Linked DNA regions of Zea mays. Each later gene encodes a partner of the first gene's protein in a complex. Links are inferred from orthologs where the notes say so. Each region holds a gene or a part of one and is shown on either strand. Other genes may lie near its edges.

The links.
Region 2: transcription initiation factor TFIID subunit 1 (region 1) and transcription initiation factor TFIID subunit 10 share a complex: the UniProt entries of both Arabidopsis thaliana proteins name them as parts of the TFIID complex. The link is inferred for Zea mays from reciprocal best matches to the Arabidopsis thaliana genes HAF01 and TAFII15.
Region 3: transcription initiation factor TFIID subunit 1 (region 1) and Transcription initiation factor TFIID subunit 6 share a complex: the UniProt entries of both Arabidopsis thaliana proteins name them as parts of the TFIID complex. The link is inferred for Zea mays from reciprocal best matches to the Arabidopsis thaliana genes HAF01 and TAFII59.

Annotation. Positions count from the first base shown.
Region 1 is NC_050104.1:98,697,367-98,705,249, reverse strand, and holds part of transcription initiation factor TFIID subunit 1, read right to left. Parts: intron 5,530-7,883; coding exon 5,292-5,529; intron 4,352-5,291; coding exon 4,015-4,351; intron 3,246-4,014; coding exon 3,039-3,245; intron 2,936-3,038; coding exon 2,843-2,935; intron 2,004-2,842; coding exon 1,797-2,003; intron 1-1,796. UniProt on the Arabidopsis thaliana protein: TAFs are components of the transcription factor IID (TFIID) complex that is essential for mediating regulation of RNA polymerase transcription. Core scaffold of the TFIID complex.
Region 2 is NC_050102.1:124,188,156-124,195,151, reverse strand, and holds the end of transcription initiation factor TFIID subunit 10, read left to right. Parts: exon of another isoform or gene 1-1,095; intron 1,096-1,263; coding exon 1,264-1,321; intron 1,322-1,426; coding exon 1,427-1,477; intron 1,478-2,465; coding exon of another isoform or gene 2,466-2,471; exon of another isoform or gene 2,472-3,022; coding exon 3,023-3,103; 3' UTR 3,104-3,557; downstream 3,558-6,996. UniProt on the Arabidopsis thaliana protein: TAFs are components of the transcription factor IID (TFIID) complex that is essential for mediating regulation of RNA polymerase transcription.
Region 3 is NC_050104.1:148,198,399-148,205,965, reverse strand, and holds the end of Transcription initiation factor TFIID subunit 6, read right to left. Parts: intron 7,051-7,567; coding exon 6,964-7,050; intron 6,376-6,963; coding exon 6,274-6,375; intron 6,183-6,273; coding exon 6,074-6,182; intron 5,954-6,073; coding exon 5,847-5,953; intron 5,762-5,846; coding exon 5,624-5,761; intron 5,546-5,623; coding exon 5,450-5,545; intron 5,333-5,449; coding exon 5,208-5,332; intron 4,528-5,207; coding exon 4,395-4,527; intron 4,270-4,394; coding exon 4,144-4,269; intron 4,046-4,143; coding exon 3,934-4,045; intron 3,787-3,933; coding exon 3,410-3,786; 3' UTR 3,273-3,409; downstream 1-3,272. UniProt on the Arabidopsis thaliana protein: TAFs are components of the transcription factor IID (TFIID) complex that is essential for mediating regulation of RNA polymerase transcription. Required for proper pollen function. May stabilize the interaction of TFIID with selected promoters.

The DNA.
Region 1 (7,883 bases):
AGTCTTTATTTGGCTTGCTATAAACAATAAATGTTGGGACAGCAGACAGGCTTCAAAAGAGAGGTTTGGACTATCCTGAAAGTTGTGCTCTGTGTGACCAAGAAGATGAGACTGTACAACATATTCTAACAAATTGTGTCTTCACAAGGCAGTTTTGGCACAATATCCTAGCTCCAATTGGGCTGTCCTCGGTGGCCCCAAAGAGGAGAGATCTATACTTTGCTGAATGGGTGGAGGAAAGCAGCAGCTAGGATTCCTAAAAGCAAGTGAAAGGGTTTTAATAGTGTTGTCATTCTGGGAGCTTGGAGCCTTTGGAAGCATAGAAACAGGTGTATTTTTGATGGAGCTAGGCCCCGGCCTCCTTGGAGTCTGAGCTTAGAGAGGAGCTGCACCTTTGGTTTTTGGCAGGAGCCAAGAACTTGCGTGCTCTTTTTGATCCTGGTTAGAGGAAGGTAATCCCCCCCCCCCCCCTCGATCTTTTGAGGGGCTGGAGTGCTGGGTGTGAGTCCGTGTTTTGTTTTCAGGCCTTCTTTTCTTTCTATTAATATAATGATACACAGCTCTCTTGCGTATTCGAGAAAAAAAGAACTCCACTTTGCAAACAGTACAGTCTACAGTGCAAAACAGTGTTTTTTGGTAAACTATGGGTAGACTGGTTCAGACGGTCTAAGGGCCTCTATATAAGGCATATACAACCCACAGTATCCATCTAAGATTCTAACTTACCAAACCAAGCATTATGTATCCATATCCATCTAGGACTCCAACTTACCAAACCAATCTATATGTATCCATCTAGGACTCTAACTTAACAGACCATTCTACAATATTTTAAAACTAATCTAGAAAAACAAGGGAACTTAGCCAACCGGGGGGATGGGGGGTATGTTGCCTGACATATTGAATGCTGACCATAACAACAACATATTTTGTAGTTTAATAAAGTCAACAAAGTTCAGAACTTTTTTTGGAAAAAGAAACACCAGGAAAACTGAATCTGGCTCACTGCAGGACAAATTTATTCAACCTTTAAGCATATGGAATCACTAGACTTCTCCAGAGCTTAATTTATAATTCTTGTAACGCTAGATCTCTATTACTTCTCCAGTAGCTCAGCCCAAATGGAATAAAAAATACCCATCTCATATAGACTAAGTTACCCAGTGGGCAAGGGGAATCGCCATGGAGTCGGCTGACTTTTCTGGACCATGTCACATCCAAGGATCAACAGGCCGAGGGGGGTATTCAATATAAATCAACTGACATAGGAAATGCGTATCATTTCATTAATAGGAGAAAAAAGGAATACAAAAAAACTCATACACACACACAACCCGAGACCCACACACACCCTCACACAAGGACTAAAAACATCCGCGCCTGTTACAAGGGAAACACGACCAGGGCATGGCAGCTACTAATTACCTCGGACGCGCAGGAGAGCTGTGTATCATTTCATTAATAGGAGAAAAAAGGAATACAAAAAACTCATACACACACACAACCCGAGACCCCACACACCCTCACACAAGGACTAAAAACATCCGCGCCTGTTACAAGGGAAACACGAGCAGGGCATGGCAGCTACTAATTACCCTGTACAAGTTTTCTTTCTGTTGATACCAAATAGTGATCCTTATCTCCCGATATTAATCGGGAATGAATACATATGAAGGTTATCTGTAGTCTCTCTAAAGCATAGAGTGCATCAATGAACTGATACTGAATAAAACTAGTGATGTTCCGGATTACTGAATACTTGAGTAAAACACCATATGAGACAAAAAGTAAGGTACCTGATTAGTACAAGCGACGAAATTACTTGTAAGATTCCAGCTAGTGATTTGCAGTTCCCTCTCGATATGTGATGCAGCAGCAAGCTCAATAGCCTCATCAGGAAGCTGATTCATGGCAGAAGCCAATCCAACAGGCTGAGTAAGCTTCAGAATTCCTAAGCGCTTGAGACGATACAAACCAGCTTGCATACTTTCATAACAGCAAACCTGGATAATGATATTTTAGTTGAGTCGTCGTCATATTTTCGGATTGAAAAGAGAACTGTTATTAAACACCAAGTCAAGAAGGTAAGGCAACCTTCAAAGAATAAACCTCATTATTTAGGTATTGGTGCTTTCAATAGAACTTTCTATAAGAAAAATATATTCTCAGTCAACTTACTCTGATGACCCAATTTTTAAAGACATTTCATCCTATAGATTTGGAAATGTGGGTATGGCATAATAACCAGCGCTTGTGGTCCATATATAAGCCAGCACAGCGTAATAAGCACTCGCATTTCCACGACGTGCAAAATAAAGCATTTCTTCAAAAGATAAAGCTTGTCATCCAGTTCTGTTGTTGTATTGGCGATTGACAAAAGACTTGACAGGTTTTTAGTGAAAGGAGCGTTGAAAAGGTTTGGAGCGACAGCATGCAAGACCTTTGAAGCATGATAGTTGTTGTCAAAGTTGGTGCCATTTAGTCTTGGTAGATGTTTGGTTCTTAGTTGTGATAGTTGCTTAGTTGGTTAGCAGGAGTATGAGTTGTTTAGTGGTTTGGCCATTTCATTTTAGTTGGCTCATTGTTTGTTTTTCTGAGCGGCTAGTGGTGTTGAGTTTGTCCTTGGAGAACTTCTGTTGTTTTAGTAGTTGTGTTTGGGGGAGATGTTGTTGGGTTTTTGGGCCTGGTTTCCCTAAAAGAACTGGACCAATACTTCTTTCTGTTTCTTCTTCTGATAAAACTTGTAGCAACGCTTTTGCCATCCTTTCGTGGAAAAAACATGTCAACAAGAAACAATTGATTGAGATTAACATGAGGGCAATAATAATTTGCAGAAACTCACACTTTCTGGCGTCAATAATCTCCTCAGTTCTTCTTCTGATGGAACCCGGAAATCAGGTCTCTGTGTCCAGAAAAAATGCCCCTTTGGTCCTTTCTGTAAGGAAGTGCAGGAGATCATTAAATATGGTTGAATAAGAGTCCAGAATAAAAATATACAGATAAAGAAACTATGAATAAAATGTGTGATAGACAGATACCTTCAAATCTGCACAATGCTTCAATCGTTTTTTCACTATGGCTTCTGTCAGAGGACTTTGTATGGGTAACTCGTCAGCTCGAATCTGAGGAATAGCATCAGGCCTCTCTCTAGCACGAAACTCACGATAAACATATGCAAGAACTCGGTTCAGAAGATAATTTTGCATGTTCTTAGTCCCTGGTGAAAAGACTTCCATATGAGGTTCCTGCAAGAAACCATGACTATTATCCTAGGGATGAAATCGTTAAAGCTCCAATACAGAACAGCTCCTAAACACTGATGATTTATTTCCAATGTATTGTTCTAACAACAGCAGAAAATGGCAAGAACTCGAGGAGTATTCTTGACACAAAAAAACAAAAAACTCAAGGAGTATTATATTTGTTTGAAAAAAAAGTGGATACAGAACATAGTTTCTTCAAATTTTACGCAGAAATCAATAACCATATACCAGTCATATTTGTAATGCTCACGTTCAGATATTCTCATGTACTTCTGTTCTCACATGCTGACAACAAACTGCCAACGTGTAGGATCATTCAACAAATGCATGACATGCTAAAACTGCGCCAAAGAAGCTTCTAAACATGCAACACACTACAATACTACATTACTGAACTTCATAGCAGATTTTATCAATAAAAGAAATTGAATTTCCCTGCCAAGCATAAATGCAAAACATGATGGACGAGAGCTATCTCTACCACTGTAACAAAGGAATATCCAATGTTTCAGCTATGTTCACTAAAGCTGTAAAGCCTAAAGGTCCCACACAGAAACAATCACAAGCTAAACCTAAGCAATGAATATTTCAGAACATGGTCTGCAGTGCAAAGCTTGGGAATGCACCACAGCGGAGAATTCAGTGAGGGGATCATATCCTTGACAATATGAAAAACTTCAGATAGGGAAGGGTTGGAAACATTGCACATCCTGCTTATACAGAACATAGTATTTCAGGCACCAGAGCTTACTTGTTGGCCAACAACATATAGCTTGTCAATGCGACGGAGGGAAAGAGCCCCTTTGGCTGAACGAACTAATAAGTAATCAGTTGGTGCAACCTTATGGGGAAATACAGGTGATCTATACATGTTTGTTTCAAGACAAGATTGGTGGGACCCAGAATGTATCTCTCCTAGAAAAGGGGATTTATCAGCAGGATCAATTGCAAGCACTGTGCCCAGTCCATCACTGTTGTTTCGCAGTGATGCAGCTGTCTGATCAGTAGGGGTAGTTTTCTGGTAATATGTACAGAGACGGGCTCCCATTCCTGCATTCGAGAGAAGCAAAGGTCTCTCTTCACAATATCTGCACTCAGGGCAATAAACAACAGATGAATTACTACAGTGGCGAAAAAACATAATCAAAATTTGACAATGTGCATAACCAACATAGCCTTGCACATATAAACATAATGATAAGCACTTGGCCAAAATAGAAGTAAAAAGAATAAAAAAATCACTGTAAAGTATCAGAGCTCTTAGCCTACCCCAACTTGCTTGGGACTAAAAGGCTTTGTAGTAGTTGTTGATGTTGTAAAGTATCAGAGCTCTCTATTCACAGTATCTACAGTCATGTGTTAATAACACATGTGCTACCATGATAGAAAGTCCCAATACCAACAAGCAAATCACAATTCACAAGCAGAAATACCTACCCAAGAAGCTACCTCCCATATACTCCCTCCATTACTGTAAGGTGCATCATCTAAAAGTTCAAACATTGTAATTCCTCCACCCAAAAATATAAGCCATCATTTGACTGTCTAAGTTCAAGTTTAGTCTATAAATTAATATAAGGATCTATGATGTATGTGATCAAATCATAGAAAATCCGTTGGAGTAGTATTCAAAGGTACATAGAATTGTGACTTAGTAACTATTAATAAAATATTATAAATCTCAACCAAAGTTTGCAACACTATCAGTACAGCTATGTGATGAAGTAACTTCTAGCTAATAAGTCGGTTGACTATATATGAGTTCAATGAGATACAAAACTGGTAGAAAAAATCCATATTTCAATGTGAATTCTTATAGTTACAATTTTGTAGGTCATAAATAATTCAAGAGATATCTATGACCAAATTTCAACTAACAGACCATGGCACATCAAAAGTTGTGTAATACCACTTCGTTGAACTAGCAACTAACATTCAAAAAATCAGCGCCTATATAAAGTCATATGCATTAAAGTTCATTGAAATTATAACTTCAATATACAATAAGGGGGAATAAATTGGACTTACTCCATTAAAAAAACATGTCCATCCTTGATAGACAAGTCAGTTTTTTTCCTGAAAGCCCCAGGAGGGCGTAGAGGCTTGTCCTCACCAGGTAATTTCTGTGCTTTTGGCCATAGGTACACTTCAGTGCGAACAGCATGCACAATGGAGTTTGGTCGCACATTTTGCATTGCTAACGAGATGTCATCCTGAAGCTCTTTCCCAGAACAGAACAATTTGATCTTCTCAGAAGGCTTCAATTCTGCAAAAAGCTAAGGTGGTGAGTGTTAGAATATGCTATACATAGGCTACAAACTTAGTTGTCCAAGATCCTCTTGGGCTAGAATAGAAACCGACTCGGATTAGAGGTTAGAGATAAAACAGAACAGGACTGCATGCATCCAGTTCATTTAGAGTTAGAGTCGGTTAGGATGCTGTTAGCAATAGAGATAGCGCAAAATAATAGATTGATTAATTGGAGAGACCTATATAGATAGATAAATAGGTAAGGGAAATGAGATCTCGTTTGTGCTTCTGGAAATTACTCAGCTAGCTCCGCGTACAGGGCTTTTTTTCAGGGGTCATTGGCCCTGTTTCACTGTTTGTTTCAGCTTTTTTCAACTTTTGGCCACCAGAAGCTGCTGCAAACTGTCAAATGCCCAGCTTTTCAGCCCGCTTCTATGAAAATCACTTTAGTCAAAATTGTTAAAATAAACGTGAACACAGAATCGGTCGAGTCGTTGTGATAGTAGGAAACCGTCACTTTCTACATCCTAAATTCTATGGACTCTTTTATCTTCCTCCGCATGTAATCTCCACAATACTCAGATTCTCTCCACAGCCAGATTCTCAGAAAAGCCCCTCAGAAATAAGCTGAGCCAAACAGGCCCCTAAAACCCTAAACGTAATGGGTAACCGACAGCCAGATTCTCAGAAAAGCCCCTCAGAAATTAGGTGTCGTTTGGTTCACATATTGGTAACGTAATGGGTAACCGACAACGTTAAATCATGTTTGTTTAAGTCTAACGGTAATCGAATATCACACTAAAAATGGATACCGGCCTATTCATATTTGTTACCGCAGGTATTCAAGTGTGAATAATTATCATTACCATTTACGTTACATTTCGCGAACCAAACTGCACCTTAGTTGCTGCTCTTCGGGTGGCTAGAGACAAGGCTTTGTGTTTGTCTTTGGCTGGTGATAAAGCTCTGTCTGGTTTCTTCCATATAGACGAGCTGCTGACCTAGTGGTAGGTGGTGTGGCAGGAGTCTGCTCTCCCTTGTGTGGTCGGAGTCTGCTCTCCCTAGTTCCCGGTGTGTCTCGGGAATTGTTTGTATTTTGGGGATCTTCCCCCTTCTCTCTTTCTTCTTAATACAAAAATGTGCAGTTCTCCTGCGTATTCCAGAGAAAAAAATGATATCTCGTGGCTTATAGAAACAGAACCAAACAAGATCTCCCTGTATCTCTAACCATATACACACACACCATATATGACTCTAACATATACAGGGGCCGACCTGCTATACCTAGCAGGTATCCATACCACATATACACACAGACACACCATATATGGTAATCTAACACCCTTGTAGTCATAGCATTGATGAGGCAAACGTTGAGACTGGACCGAAATTCCATGAAGACATAAGCTAGCAGCTCTTTGGTCCCTCAAACATCACAGACAGCAATGCAGCAAAACCTTCAGATGATTCAGTATCATCAGAGTGCTCGGTTTCATCAGGACCAACAGCTCCAGCTAAACGACCTCCCATTCCCGTTGTTTACACAAATCAGCATCATCGAGCAAGATTACAAGATAGAAAAACTATTGTGTTTTACCACCATTGGTGAACCTCAAGACCTGTCTGAAGCTCTAGGTGATGATAATTGAAAGAATGCTGAATTTGACGCGCTGATGAAAAATAACACTTGACATCTAGTTCCTGCTGATGTGGCCAAGAATGCTATTGATTGCAAGTGAGTATATAGAATCAAACAGAAGGCAGCCAAAATGTTGGATAGATATAAAGCCAGGCTGGTGGCAAAGGGTTTTAAACAGCGATATGGCATAAATTATGAGACATTCAATCTTGTGGTCAAAGCGACTACTATCAGGATAGTTCTACCCTTAGAGGATGGATATTGAGGCAACTTGATGTTCAAAATACGCTTTTTCATGACATTCTGAAGGAGGAAGTCTACATGAAGCAACCACCCCACCAGGATATGAGAGCACATCACAGCCTAATCATGTGTAAGCTAGCGAAAGCTATTTATGGTCTGACGCAAACTCCAAGGGCCTATTATTCTCGACTTGGTGATAAATTATAGCATCTAGATTTTCAGGCTTCAAAGGTGGATACTTCTTTGTTCTTTTATACCAAGGGAAGTGTCTCAATATTTCTCTTGGTCTATGTCGATGAAATTGTAGTTGCTAGCTCTTCACAGGATGGTATTGTTGCTATGCTTCGAGATTTGAGTTTAGAGTTTGCATTGAAGGACCTAGGGCAGCTCCACTACTTCCTTAGAATTGATGTACAAAAAACTGGTGATGGTATTCACTTGTCTCAGACTAAGTATGCTTCAGATTTGCTTGGTAGAGTTAGAATGAT
Region 2 (6,996 bases), on another chromosome or scaffold:
GCACCAGTGCACAATCTGCATGAGTAGAGCTCTATTTCAAAAGGGGTGGCGTTGGCCCTCAATCTGGGAGGTGTGCTCTTGGGGCAGCCAGGCTTGTCGTTGCTCAAAGACGGCATTGGAAAGGACTGATGTAAACAGGCAAACAGCATCAAGTGAGGAATTGGTGGATTAGGGATTGAGGGGAGAGTGTAGGGTGTTGCTTTATGGGCTGTTGGGTTAATTGGGTTCTAATGAGTTAGTGGGGTGGCTGCTAATAGTTAATGTGGCCCATCGATGCTTGTATTTACCTCTTATTCTACATTATATATCTTACTACATATTTTATGTTCCATATCATTTACTTTTTCAAAAAATGAAACATATCCCTATATTGAGTAACTGTGTAACATGCAATTATCTTCAAAGTTTTTTAAAAAACATACAAGATACACTTACAAAGTGTATGCCTGATTTTGCGGAGATTCTGTAATTATATTACTTGTATAGGAGTGTATGAAAAACAGCTATCCATGTGCCTAAACCTGTATGGTTTCAACTCTAGCCTATCCCAACTTACTTGAGACTAAAAGGCTTTGTTGTTGTTATTTGTAATTATATTACCAATGGCTCATTCTTTATGTGGTCTGACTAATCAAGTGATGAATAACTAAAGCATACTAAAATTAGGAAACAGGTCAATTAGGGTTTTTTTGGTATCATCATCATCATGAGTTACGAATTAAAAGCATACCTAATTAACTGAAGGATACCTAATCAATCATCATGATAGGCTCATGTATCACATCATGTGCCTTAGCAAGGTGCGATTTGAGGTTGTAGTGGCAGCAGGCTAGCGCCTGCTGGAGAGGCTCCTAGTTTGACACGACCTGAAATGCACATTCTGCAGTCAGCAATCTGGCAATCACATTTAGCCTAGACAGCTATGGCAACTGAGCTGCAGGAATTGCTAAATGACTAGAACAGGTGCCAAGCTGATTATTTACCAGGGTCCAGGGGAGGGGGTCTTAATAACCCTGAAAGGCATTGTGATTTACAAAGCCCGTGGAAAAACAGATCCATTGTGCGGGGAGGATGGGATCTTTCGGATTATATTGCGTAAGTTTGCCAGGGTCTTATTTTGTTGGTTTTTTTTGTCAGTGTATGATGTGCTCTACTGTTCACTATATAACAAACTATTTTAACATTTTCTTAGCGATATGTATTATACACACTGTATTTGTGTGTACTAACTTTGCTGTTACATTATTCTTTCCCTTGAACTAGGCACTGCAAGGCCAGGGTAGCAGCACCTATCAAAGACAATAAGAGCAAACAGCCGAAGGTGTATTTACTCACTAGTTGAACTTTTCGTGTTCCTAGCGTTAAATCTTGTTTAGTATCCTTACTGATTACTTATCACATTTTTCCTAAAAAATGTTACTTTCAGGATAGACGTCTTGTATTAACCATGGATGATCTTTCTAAAGCTTTGCGCGAGGTAACTACGTTTCCATTTAGTTCTGCAGTTTGCAAATTTTTATTTTTGTTGGCAGCAGCTTACCATTTACTATCTTCTGTATTCCAACCAGTTGGGTAGATCTGTTTTCTTAAAATCAGTCAGGAGCACATTGTTTGGTTTAGACACTGTTTTTTCAGGACTTGAAATTGAATCTCCCCACTGTTTTCTTAAACTTACACAGTTATGTAGATCCAGTTTGATATGCTCTTGCTCCTCACAAATTTCCAAAAATTCATAAGGAAAACCACCTGTTAGCGGCAGTTAAGAACAGAGCACACGAATAAAAACTTGACAATGGAGGATAGATATTTAAGCAAATAGCATGTGCTGCACAGTAGATTTTAAGGCGATGACTAATATGCAATCAGTCATTATATGCAAGCGAGCTTTCTGGCCCGTTAGGTCATGATCCAACCGTATATATAACTGTGGTTTGTTTTACACACACACGAGCTGGTCTTGGAAGGATTTAAGTGTTAAATGTGACATACGGTTGAATCATGATCTAACAGACCAAGATGCTTACTTGCACATTAGGTCTGATTGCATATTAGTGATCGCCAGATCATAATGATGATTGAGTTCCTTTAGACTAGATATATGATCCATTCCAGCAACCCAATGGCAGTGCGCCAGTGCCCATATGACCTGTATCTTTTTGCAAGAGTGAGGCACACACCATCCGATATTGTGCATGGACCTAAATATACAAGGTCATATGGAGATCAGACTAGTGTGGTTTTCTTTGCCTGTACTGGTTAAACCTTATAACTGTCAACCTTACTGTCGTTGTAGTAAGAAAGAAAAGTGGGATCTGGATGTTGCTAAAATCTGAAGGCACAATTCATCTCCCATTTAAATCGAATGTGTAATAGTGGATATCACAGTCATTAAATGAATTTGAGCAGCTAATCAGATTTCAGATTGTCAATCGAACATTGCATATTCTGAGCTTCCTCCTTTATAGGTTTAATGGTTTACCCATCGACAAGAAGACCATTATATGCATGGAAATAAGCACTTCCGGAATCTACAACCTAGGAATTTCACTGAAAACAGTACAATCCCTGCAGAATTCAGTACCATGCCAGTGCTATTAAGCATGGCGGTGGTGGTGGTGGTTGGGGGGGGGGTGTTATTCTTTCTTACATTCCAAAATAAGTCTGTTATACCCAAACCTTGCACAAAGGCATTGTCCTGTACTTTATATCAAATACAAAGTTTATAATGTTGATAGAATCTTCAGCGTCCAACATCCAGGCACCCTTCTCGAAATTATATTTGGTAAAAACCCTGTTTTTGTTTAGTTTTGAAGGTGACTTGTGTAGTACCTCCAATACCTAACATCATCTCATGGCATCATTGTTGGGAGAATGGAGTAGTAACTGATAAATAGAATCCTAACTCAAAAAATCTTCATTCATTGGTTTCGCATGGTCACCGTATTACTTTCCAGCACATCAGCTTTTGCTCCATGTGTGATCCTTATATACCCTGATACTCACATGAGCCATCTCTCTGCAGCACGGCGTGAACTTGAAACACGCGGAGTACTTCGCAGACAGCCCTTCAGCTGGAATGGCTCCTTCGACCAGAGAGGAGTAGACTGGATTAGGCCAACTTGTACGGAACTAGGGAGGGATCGCGTGGAATGGATGGGCATGTTGGCATTCTTGCCCGATCAGATCGATGGGATGTATTACTATTAAGTACTGCTACTATGACTAGTATATTTCTCAATTACCATTGTCACTGAGAGAATCCAGACACAAGTCGTTTTGCCCATGCGCTTTTATTTGTACAAACTGTCAATCATCTGTAACCCTATGGGGCCCAAGGATGATTGGGCAAACATCATGAGTTTTTTGTTTTCTACATACCATTCTAAAGGAGGCAGCTCACCTTCCCTGGGTGGCGAATTGTCAAATCACCCCCTGGCCCTAGGAGAACATCTCTATGGACACTTCTCTAGGTCCCTTGTTTCCTCCATGTTGACAAAGTGATCAGTATGTACTTACCACATGACCACACTGATTAATTGTGTCCTTGCTTTCGTCTATGGCACACCACCAGAAATCTGTGTTTATATGTCATCAGCCGTACCGATGTACCATGGTCCACGATTGACTTGGATTTGTTAATCGCTCAGCGTGAACCAAATTCGTCCCCACATCTTTTTTTGAAAAAAAATTCATAAAAACTTACGGCACTCCATCTTTTTTTTCTTCAACGCAGCTTGGATTTCTGAAAGGGACTAGCCCCAGTATCATATTTAGGCCACCAACCCACCATCAGGCATCAGGGATTTAATTTTTTTTTTTAAAAAAATCTTGCACAGTCTGGTCACTCTCCAATTCCTGTTTGCATTGCATGGTCATCGACACAGACATTTACAATCGCAAAGTCCCTAAGCCAAGGTCCATCTCAGCGTTTTCATTTGCAGGAAGGGAAGCGCTGACTTCATCCCGAGTTCAGTTCACAACCATTTTTTCTGCTGACGAAGGTTTCACAAGGATTAACAAAGCCATGGCCGGCGCAACGATATGGTTTAACAATCCGGACGGTAACTGGTAAGTTTACCCGTACGTATCATTGGCTAGCCGTTGCCGTACCACGTAGGTCAAGTTGATTTCGCGAAACAGGACAGATAAAATGAACCTCGTCTGTCACGTCCGAGTGAGTGGATTATCATCCCAAGCGATTTTCATGATGAGATTTGTGAGATAAAAAAATACTGTAGAAATAAACAAACAAGCCAGGGCAATGTTCCAGACCTCTAAAACCAATAGTTAGCGACTAAAATTGGCTGAGAGGTTTAGAGCGTGTCATCTAATACAGGGGCGGGCCGACAAATTTAAAGGCCCTGTACTAAACTTCAAAAGATGTCATATTTTATAGAAAAAATATAATTGAAATTACATTGTAATAGAATTTATGTATTCTAAATTGTAAAAGATTTACTAGATAACTCTTTTAAATCTATCTATTTTTTACGAAATTATATTGTAATAGAGTATATAAATAAACATACGTATTAATAGATGTGTTTGAAGAGCAATAGGCTAGCTGCTAACTGAGTTCAGCTTAGATGATATAATGTTAGTCTGCTTATTGATGCATATTATTTAGGTTTACTACTGAGCTAAGAAATTTTTTAGACCCCTCAGAATTTTAGGCTCTGTGAGGTCGCACTTGTGGCACATGCATCTGGCCCGGCCCTGATCTAATAGACCAACTAATTATTAGTTATATCTCTATGGGGTTACTGATAATTAGCTCGACCGAATAGGATTATCGTAGGTCAAGTGGGTAACTCGAAGTCCAGAAAGAAATACTACCATGTTGATGAATTATTGCCCTGTAATTAAAAGAAGTCTCAAGTTGTTCACTTGGTCGCTTTCGTTTCTTCTACCATATTCTGCATTTTTTAATTAATGAGATGGAAAGTGTACCAAACGGGCTGCTGCTACAGATCGCGTTGGACCGGTAAAATTAAGGTCTCGTTTAGTGACAAAGGAATTGGGAAAAAAATCATAGAGGAGGACATATATTGCTAAACCAAACCTATAATTGATTACAGGCAGGGGGCTTCTGACTTTGGTATGGATCTTCGCTAATCTTTTGACTTGCTACGGAACTTCGCTAACCTTTAAAATTCCCACCCGTCATCTTCTACTCGGGCCAGTAAGAGTCCAGCTAAAGTCTTGTCTGGTTAATCCTATGCATTGGCGGAGCTAGGGTCTCTCTAAATATAGGATTAGATATAACACTAAAAACGATGTATGGACCTTTAAACATCAAAAGCTAGCTCTCTTGACAGCAGTCACAGCTAATCATACTGGTTGGTATATGGACCTTTAGAGACTATTTGGTCCAAAAGTAGGGCCTAGGCTCTCCTGCACATAGGCCTGTCTCCGCCACTGATCCTATGCCCCATAGATTGAAAGATATTGGAAAAAAAATTTATGAAGAACTTTGACTTGCTATGGATTGAAATTCATCTAATTTCCTCAAATCTATATGGATTTTGATGAAACCGAGTAGACCCTAGGAGCTATATGGCATGACAAAATCCACGAGGCAAGGCAAAAGGTGAGCACTCTACATGGTTCTGGTTATACTTATACCTTCGGTTTCAAGAGTTCACAGGGACCAGAGTTCATTAATGGTTCGAGCCTATCCTCGCAAGGACAGTACTTTATGCAGCCATTATTGACAGGATTACGCATGACACCAACGCTGACGGCCAATCACAGCTTCGAAGCGCCACGGAATTCCTGAATCCAAACGCTAGCTAGGGCAGGCTAGGACAAGGGGAAAAGGCTACTGACCACCATCCCCGGCGGCATCCCTTTAACTCCAGTGAACGTTTAAAGGCGACGGATCATTCCGGTGTCACGTTCTTTCTGGAAGAAAAAAAAAAAGGCGTGGCAATGCAACGATCCTGCCTTTCCTGTGTTGCCTGCCCTGTTCCTCTCTCGTTTCCAGGGTCAATGTGCATGAGCCTCTTTTCTGCCGGCTGGATGGTAATGTGGTGGTGTGGGTATCCAGGAAAGTGCCCGGAGCTGCAGGCTGTTCTCACCTGGCACTCGCGGGGGTTTTAAGAGCTCGCATCCAGTCCAGCCACTTGTTGTGAACTGGGATGCGTAGTTCGGCGGGGCTCCAATCATCAACTCCATCCTGTCTCATCTCTCGTACTTCCCACTCCTATATGACACTGCTGCCCTCAGCCTCTCCCCTCATCCTCCTCACTCGTGCCGTCACCGTCAACCCCACTCCTCTCTAAGATGGTAGCGTTAGTGTGGGACACCAAAATAACTGTACGGACGGTCCGGCCCTGAGGCCAAATGGACTGTGGTCCACCATAGTAGCTCGGACCGTCCGCGTGTACGCAGAACCAGTTAGGGTTCGATTTTCTTGCGAAATTTGTTAGCTAAATCTGCGGAATTAACTCGGGAACCGACTTGTAACAGGTCCAGACCTCACCTTTATATATATATATATATATGAAGGGATACGACCGATTGGAACCCCAACAATCAATCAATCAATATACATCTATTTCTTTACATTTTGCCCTAAGAGTAGACAGTAAATTAGATTCCTCTCTCAATCTTCACCTCTCTCTGGCTGTACGTCGATTAGAGGCATCTTGGGTGGCCTGCCGATCCCAAGACAAAGCCTAGTATTGTCGGCGTTTCGACCCCGGGGTCCCTGGACCGACGAGTAAATTGTCGCCGCGTGCCCCAGCCCAGATGGGTCGGCGCGAGACGGAGCGCGAAGGGGGGAAACCAGAGGGAGACAGGCGTAAAAGGGGAAACCCGCGGCCTTCGTGTTTGTCCCGCGCCCAGGTCGGGTGCGCTTGCAGTAGGGGGTTACAAGCGTCCGCGTGGGAGGGAGCGAGAGGCCTGCACGCGCCATCCCGTCCTCCCCCACGCGGCCAACCCTCTCGTACGAGTACCCTGGGCCTTCCTTTTATAGGTGTAAGGAGAGGGCCC
Region 3 (7,567 bases), about 50 Mb from region 1:
TACAGGTAAATAACTGACGCGGCTCTTGCTGGTGAGCAATTTTTAGGATGTGGGCAAATCAATCCTCGAGAGCTATTCGAGGGTGTTAGAAAGTTTGGCTTCAAACATCGTCACCCACATCGACAATCTGCTAAACATCGACGAGCTGAACGGACACGCTGAACATTTCGCAGCAACAGGTCGTTGAACCTGGTATTGTAGACAATTTATCTATAAAAAATGTCTTATAATAACAGAGGGAGTAGTAGTTAATGGGCGATTGCTTCATCAGGATCTGCAAAGATGCTGCTTGCTGAGATTTTTAGTGGTGTGTGTTTCAGATGCAGAGTTTCGGAATACTGGGCTGGAGAGATCAGAGGCACTGAAAAATGATCTGGAATGGTTCAGGCAACAGGGCCACACAATTCCAAAACCATCGGCCCCTGGCACCACATACACTTCTCTACTGGAAGATCTGTCTGAGGAGGACCCCCAGGCCTTTATCTGCCATTTCTATAACGTGTACTTTGCTCATACTGCTGGAGGCCGAATGATTGGCAAAAAAGGTGACCCTCCCCCCTTCTGAGAAAATGACAAAATACTGAGTAGTACATGGCATCATGTCACAACATTGTTTTGGCAAGCATAATTTACACAGCATTGGCACATTCAGGTGTCTGATGCCATCAAATCCCCAAGCATGCATATGCATTCTCTATTGAATATGATTCCTTGTGCCTTTTTTCTTTGTCGATACTACAGTGCACTTCTGGTTAGGAATATGATTACCTTTCGTTGCTGATCTGGGTAGTTCAGAAGTCTGAAACTACCTGTTCCTCCATTATCTCGTATCATTTAACACAGTACCATGTGCTCCTGGTATCTTAGGTTTCCGAGAAGATTCCAAAGACCTGGAGTTCTACAAGTGGGAGGGCAATCTCTCCCAGCTGCTGCAGAACGTCCGCAACAAGCTTAACCAAGTCGCTTCGGTAAGTCCCTGGAACCAAACACAAGTACCAAAGCTTTTTAAACTGAACGGCAGATTCTCGAAGGAAAAACTAACTGTCAAATTATTTTCCATGTACTGGTTGGTTCCTTAGAGCTGGTCTCGGGAGGAGAAGGACCACTGCCTGGAGGAGACGGAGAAGTCGTTCTCTTACTCAGGAGGCCTCCTCCGCCATATATTCACCTGATCTATCATTGCCGGTTGATCCAGTCATAAACGCTGTAAATACATAGTCCTCTTGACTGTTAAAACTTTATTACTGGTGAGGGGGATCTCCTCCCCCAGGTACGGTTTACCTGCATTCAAGTTGCCCAGTGTCTTACTTGATTTCTGGTGTTTGGTGTTTCTGTGATGCAATCTGTATTCTGTAGGTCGTTTCATGACTAATAGAGTCGACCCCTTCCAATGTCGTCAATGGCAAGAGCTCTTCCAATCAACATGCCTAGCCTAGCGTATTCGTTTTGTAGTGTGCGTACGTGAGTGCTTAGTACAGTACCAAATATAAATACTTCTTTGTGTTTTCTGTATTTTATAGGTAGGTGCCCGTGCGATGCCACGGAACATAAATTGCGAACCTCCAATGGACTTCATTTGAGACAAGTGATGCCCAAGAAAATGGGGGTAAACTGACACAGCTATCACTTGCATTACTTGCCCTATGCGCGGAAGAATCTGACACAGCTATCACCCATGAAGATTTCCGGTTAACTTGTGGAACCGGACTTCATTTGAGACAAGACAACAATACCAGTGTTGAGCTTGCCACTCGGCCATGGCACACATGAGAACACGGGATGATCAAGTAAGAACTGAACAGAATGCACTAATACAAAACGCTGGCTTGCGTTCGCTTCCTTGCTCCATAGGAAGCATAGCTGATATACAAATCGAGAAGTTTTACATATAGACTTCCCAATATGTAAATGGAGAAGTTTTTATACAAATCGAGAAGTTATAAAAATCGAGAAGTTTTACCTAGGAAGCATAGCTCCACAGTAAGAACTGAACAGAATCCAGTTTTACACGAAAACACGAGAGCAGGACCTTTTTTACTCTATATGTAAAACTTCTCGATTTGTATATCAGCTATGCTTCCTGTGGAGCAAGGAAGCGAACGCAAGACAGCCTTTTGTATTAGTGCATTCTGTTCAGTTCTTACTTGATCATCCCGTGTTCTCGCGTGTGCCATGGCCGAGTGGCAAGCTCAACACTGGTATTGTTGTCTTGTCTCAAATGAAGTCCGGTTCCACAAGTTAACCGGAAATCTTCATGGGTGATAGCTGTGTCAGATTCTTCCGCGCATAGGGCAATTAATGCAAGTGATAGCTGTGTCAGTTTACCCCCATTTTCTTGGGCATCACTTGTCTCAAATAAAGTCCATTGGAGGTTTGCAATTTATGTTCCGTGGCATCGCACGGGCACCTACCTAGTTACTAATGATGCATTAATAATGACTTGTTTATTTTATTGTTTTTAAAAATATGTAGGATAGGTAATTACATGTAATATCTAAAAGTTAAAAGCATCATCTATTTAGAAACTAAGGTAGGTAGCAGCAGCCAAAAAAAAAAACTGAGGCGCTGCTGATCTTTCCGCAGTGATCTGCGCGTACCTGGAAGGGGATCTAGCGAGGATCTGGCTGTCGATCCTCGTGTTCGTGGGCAGCCAGCTCGTTCTGCCGCTGGTGTCCTCGCTAGAGAAGAACAGGCTCAGCTACGCTACTACCGGAATCGTGATGGTTGTCCCGACCACGTTCGTCGCAACTACGTCCCGAACTCGTCCTCCATGGCTACTGATGACATCGTGGTAAGTGCACACATTAACACGCGTGGCATGGCTTCCCACTCTTCGTTGACCTGACGCATTACTCAGGTGCCGTTCTCGTGGGCGAAGACCTCCATAAAGACGACGACAGGGTGAAAGAGGACTTGACTAAGCGCATATGGTCTTTGAGCATATAGACTAGTGGAATAGCCAGGAGATAAGTGACACTCCATCCCTGAAGGACTGGAGAATGATAATGATACCCAAATTTCAAGAACTGAGCTTCTAATGTTTCCAAAGTTTCTGTACGCTTACTAACCTGACAGATATACTAACGAGTGACTGTTGGTAAGCGTACAACAACATCGGAATTTGGTTAACCTGCTGACAGCTGTAGCGGGAATACACCAGACGTTCCCATAGAGTTGGAAAATGGCAAGCGCTTACAAAAGCAAACTATGCCATCTGAATGCCAACGCCATCATAAATAGCATGCATTGGATAGCAGCACAGCACAGCAACTGAGTAAACTACAACTTCAGTCACATTACTTTGACAATGTCAAACCGGGTTTCGTGAACTCTTCAAAACATCCCTAGTTGTACAACAGCGTAGAATAATAAAACCTAGAGTCTATGCATTTCCTCTCTCTCTCTCTCTCTACACAAACAAGGATATCTCTGGTGGTTGGACAAAGGAGAAGATGGCTTCCCCGAAGACCTCGTACAGAGACCCCAAGAGATGACCGGTGTCCTGGTCCTCCTTCCAGGCTTGCCTAAGCACTGCAGAAACTCTCTGCGCGAGATCACTGCCCTGATCCCTCCGGACCGCAGCTGATGGGATGCTCTCCACCGTCTGCCCAGAGGACGAGGCCTGCATCATGCCAGGGTTGCCTAACTGGTTGGGAAAGCCATCCATGGCACCTTGCATGTTTCCTCCCATGGAAGCTGAGGCCATGGAGTTGGCTGTTGCGTCCGTTGCCATCTTCTTCAGAGGTGGCTGAGTTGCAGAGAGATCTGTGCTAGATTTTCGCTTATCTGAAATTTGCAGCGCAACATAATCTTTACTTTCAAACTCGACTAATCCAACTGCTGACAGTAAGAACCACTTTGCACTTAATTGCCAGTCAACACGTGTCTAGTGGCATATATTCAACTGATACTGTGCTTATATTCAACACTCACTTGGGTTGTTGGTTAAGACCCTTTTGTTGCTCTGTAAAAGAGGCCGCATCGACGGAGAAAGCAAACCAGGAAATAGTTTCAACCGATCATACAAGCATTTGCCTGCAGCACACTAAAAAAATGCATTCCACTGGTAAGAAACTTGGCCTGGCATTAGTTGGTGAACCAAAATACGATAAATATTATATTGACTGAGAACTCTGAACTGACCAGCAAGGCACCATAAACACGCCAAGCTTCCTTCCTTTTCATCTCGTTTTTCTGCTTCTCAAGCTGCAGTTCCGGCTCCAGAAGTTGCATATATGTCACAAGGTTGGGCAAAAGAAGGAGTCTAATCTGGTAAGCAGAAAAAACAATCAGCCAGTGCATAGGACAGACCCAGTGTTGGCGGCTCCCACATAAGTGGGATCTGAGGAAGGAATAACTAATACAAAAAAAAAAGAGTTTCAAATGGGATCTACCGCGCTGGGCCCCAGTGCAGATATCCCTTGGACAGCACCATAATGTTGTGTCAGTGATTTGGCAGGATCAAGAAATGCATGGATCAATGTTTTAGTTAACCGATTTTGAAGGTTGTGATAGACATGACCAAACCTGAAACCATCATCTTCAGTTGGTCAACAATGTCATGAGAAAATTATTAAGGCAATTAGCCAAATACTACATACAGAAAATATCAATTAGCAAAGAGAGCTAGAGATCATCATTCAGAAAATACACACACTCCATGAGCAGAGCATGCAAAAGGCTATAAATCTATCAATTCCAAAAGAAAATGGATGCATGGAAACACATAAGGCAAGATCAAGTCATGACCCACCCAACAAATGCATGAAGATAGAACTGAAATAAATCTTCTGTCCACACACAGCATAGTGAAAATATCTATTTACCAGTTGGTCTCTAAAAGGAACACTATGTAGTCTACTCAGTAGCAAAGCCATGCAATGGTTTATTGGTATGTTTTCCACTAAGATGTAAGCTTCCATGAAACTTATCATGTCACATATGACATGATCCCGCAAAATAGGTAAAATCTTATATACGGAAGAAAGAGCATGAAATGGTGGTCAAACTATTATTGACTTGACCTTCATCTTAAACCTGTCGAAAAGATACCATATTAGCATAACTAAGATAAAGCACTTTTATGGGCACATAACTGTTCTTTAAGGTCATAATATGAGAATCAAGGAATTGAAATCACAAATGCAATTGAATTAAATTTTGATAATTATACAAAGATTTACTGACACCCTTCACATATCACTCACCTCTGACATACCAAGGCAACCAAATTGGCAGAGAAGTCCCTAAGTTCCCAGTGGTTATCTGAGAGCCTATGCCCTAGCCTTTTCGCAACAATGCAAGTGATCATTGATGGCATCAGCTGGTGCAACTACAGATCAAGACAAATGCTGCTAATTTAGTACTAATACGGCGAAAAGAATATATAAAATGGCAAAAAAATAAGTCGCGCACATGAACTATCAAAACCTTATGGTTTACTACTTACATAAGGTTCAATATGAATATGTGGATTACGGAGAAGACTTTGGACTACTCTCATTAGAGCAAGTAAAACAGGAAGATCACCCAAACTCCGGGTAACCTGAAATTCAAATGGATACACACTAAGTAATGTCATATAAAAAGAAACCCACCAAAAGCAAGAAAGCTACTGTACAACCTCGTCTGCAATGAAGTAGGAAAAGTAAGGAACTAAAGGATGAAGACCAGAATCTTTTGCCAAGCTCACTAAAGCTTCTTTAAAAAGGGACGTATCAGATCTACTCATAGTAAGTTCAGCTATTTTATCAAAGTACATCTGCAAAACCAAACAGTGAATAGACATATAAGTTTCTTGAAAATATATGCGTAATATACAATGCACGGTATCATAATCAAAGTACCTGTAGTTCTCTAGATAATACATGCTTAACAGGAAGCTTGACATCAGCTGGAAGTCCATCATCTTTCCCATGCTCAGACCTTTTATTTTCAGTTGGTGGTACAATTGCTGAAATAAAATGATAATTGGCACAACAAGTATTTTTCTCTCAATATTGGAGAAGAATGTGACTACATCTTGCTAAGGAGAAAAGTAATGACTATAAATCTCTGGACAAAAAGGGCAGACCGTCAATAGCAGGATTCTCCGGTATTGCAGGCTGTACCCCCTCAATCGCTAGCCAATGGGCTACAACTGATGTGTCCAGTGGGGCTTTAGGCAGAGGACAGTCAATAATCTGCATGACACGAACCAGGAAGAAACATTTCAAATGAATGGTTTTGAAATAAGTGGTACGAAAATTTAATAATCATTAATAATGCCACTACCTCTTTGAAGTCTACCTCCCGATCATCAAGATAGAAGAGATCCTTATGTCCAACAGCTCTCTTAAAACGTAATGGATCACCAGAGGCAAATCCATATACGGGCTGATTGAGAACCCATGGACCATGGTAATGAAACAGCAGGGTCAGTTCAAACAAAATAAAGTGTAGCAGAGGAGTTAGACACTTCAATATAAAAGTATGACAAAAATTGCATAAGGAAGGCAGTTTCACAAAAACAGAAGCTAATCAAACAGCTCTACATGCTGAGAAAATTCTAGTAAGAAAACTACATCTATGAACTGAGGAACCAATATTACAACTGTAGTAAAAACAAATATGTACCAGTAAAGCAAAACCATTTTTCCTAAAGATTTCTGAAATGAAATTTCAAGATTACAAATATATGGAAGCATCATTCAAAAACTACTTGTTCGATTGTTTACTGAACCAAATATGCAAGTGGAAGGTGTAAGTTGAATACCATTTACATACCATGAAGACACTTGTCGAAATCTAAAAGTGGATTGTAGTAATGTAGTTACACGCTTTTGAAGTTCTAAACATGATTCGGAAAAACAATACAACGAAAAAAGGATCTTAAATTTATTAGCTAACAATTCACAAGTGCATAGTAGACCTACAAACATATGTTGCAAGTATCCAAAAAAATAGCATAGAAAGGTAATTCACCTCAACATTCCTGAGGCCCAGGGCACTGTCAACATCATCCGCCGTCAGAACAGTCCGCTTTGCATGCCGCATACATTTAATGGATTCCTGAGGCAAAAACACATAAAATGGGATCATCAGAATGGCAATTGAGGTAGTAAAACTGCAAGGTTTCATGAAGACTTGCATGATTATAAGCTTAGCATAAATTAGCGCAAGTGGCAAAAAGGGAACAGACAGTATCCACAAAGAAGTGAATTATGAAAACACTAGATAATGAAATATCAGGCCATAGGACACTCTTCTGTTATCAAACCCCACTAGTACTTCGACAAAATTTTGAGATCCAACTAAGTTCTACATCCCTAAAGGGAAAGAATTGTATAGACTCAACAAATTAAGCAGCATAACTCGAATTACCAGTAGAAAGAAAATAAAAAAATGACTTCACCAGTTGTGCCAGTGGAAAAACAAACAACATCTCACTTGGCAAGTTCATCCCACCATGCAGCCCTCAAAATTCCATTCCACATCATAAACAAGCACACCCTAGAACTAAAGATACTGATTTCATACAGTTGCTCGGGAGACAGTGGCGGAGCTAGGGGCATTTGTTGGTGTCATC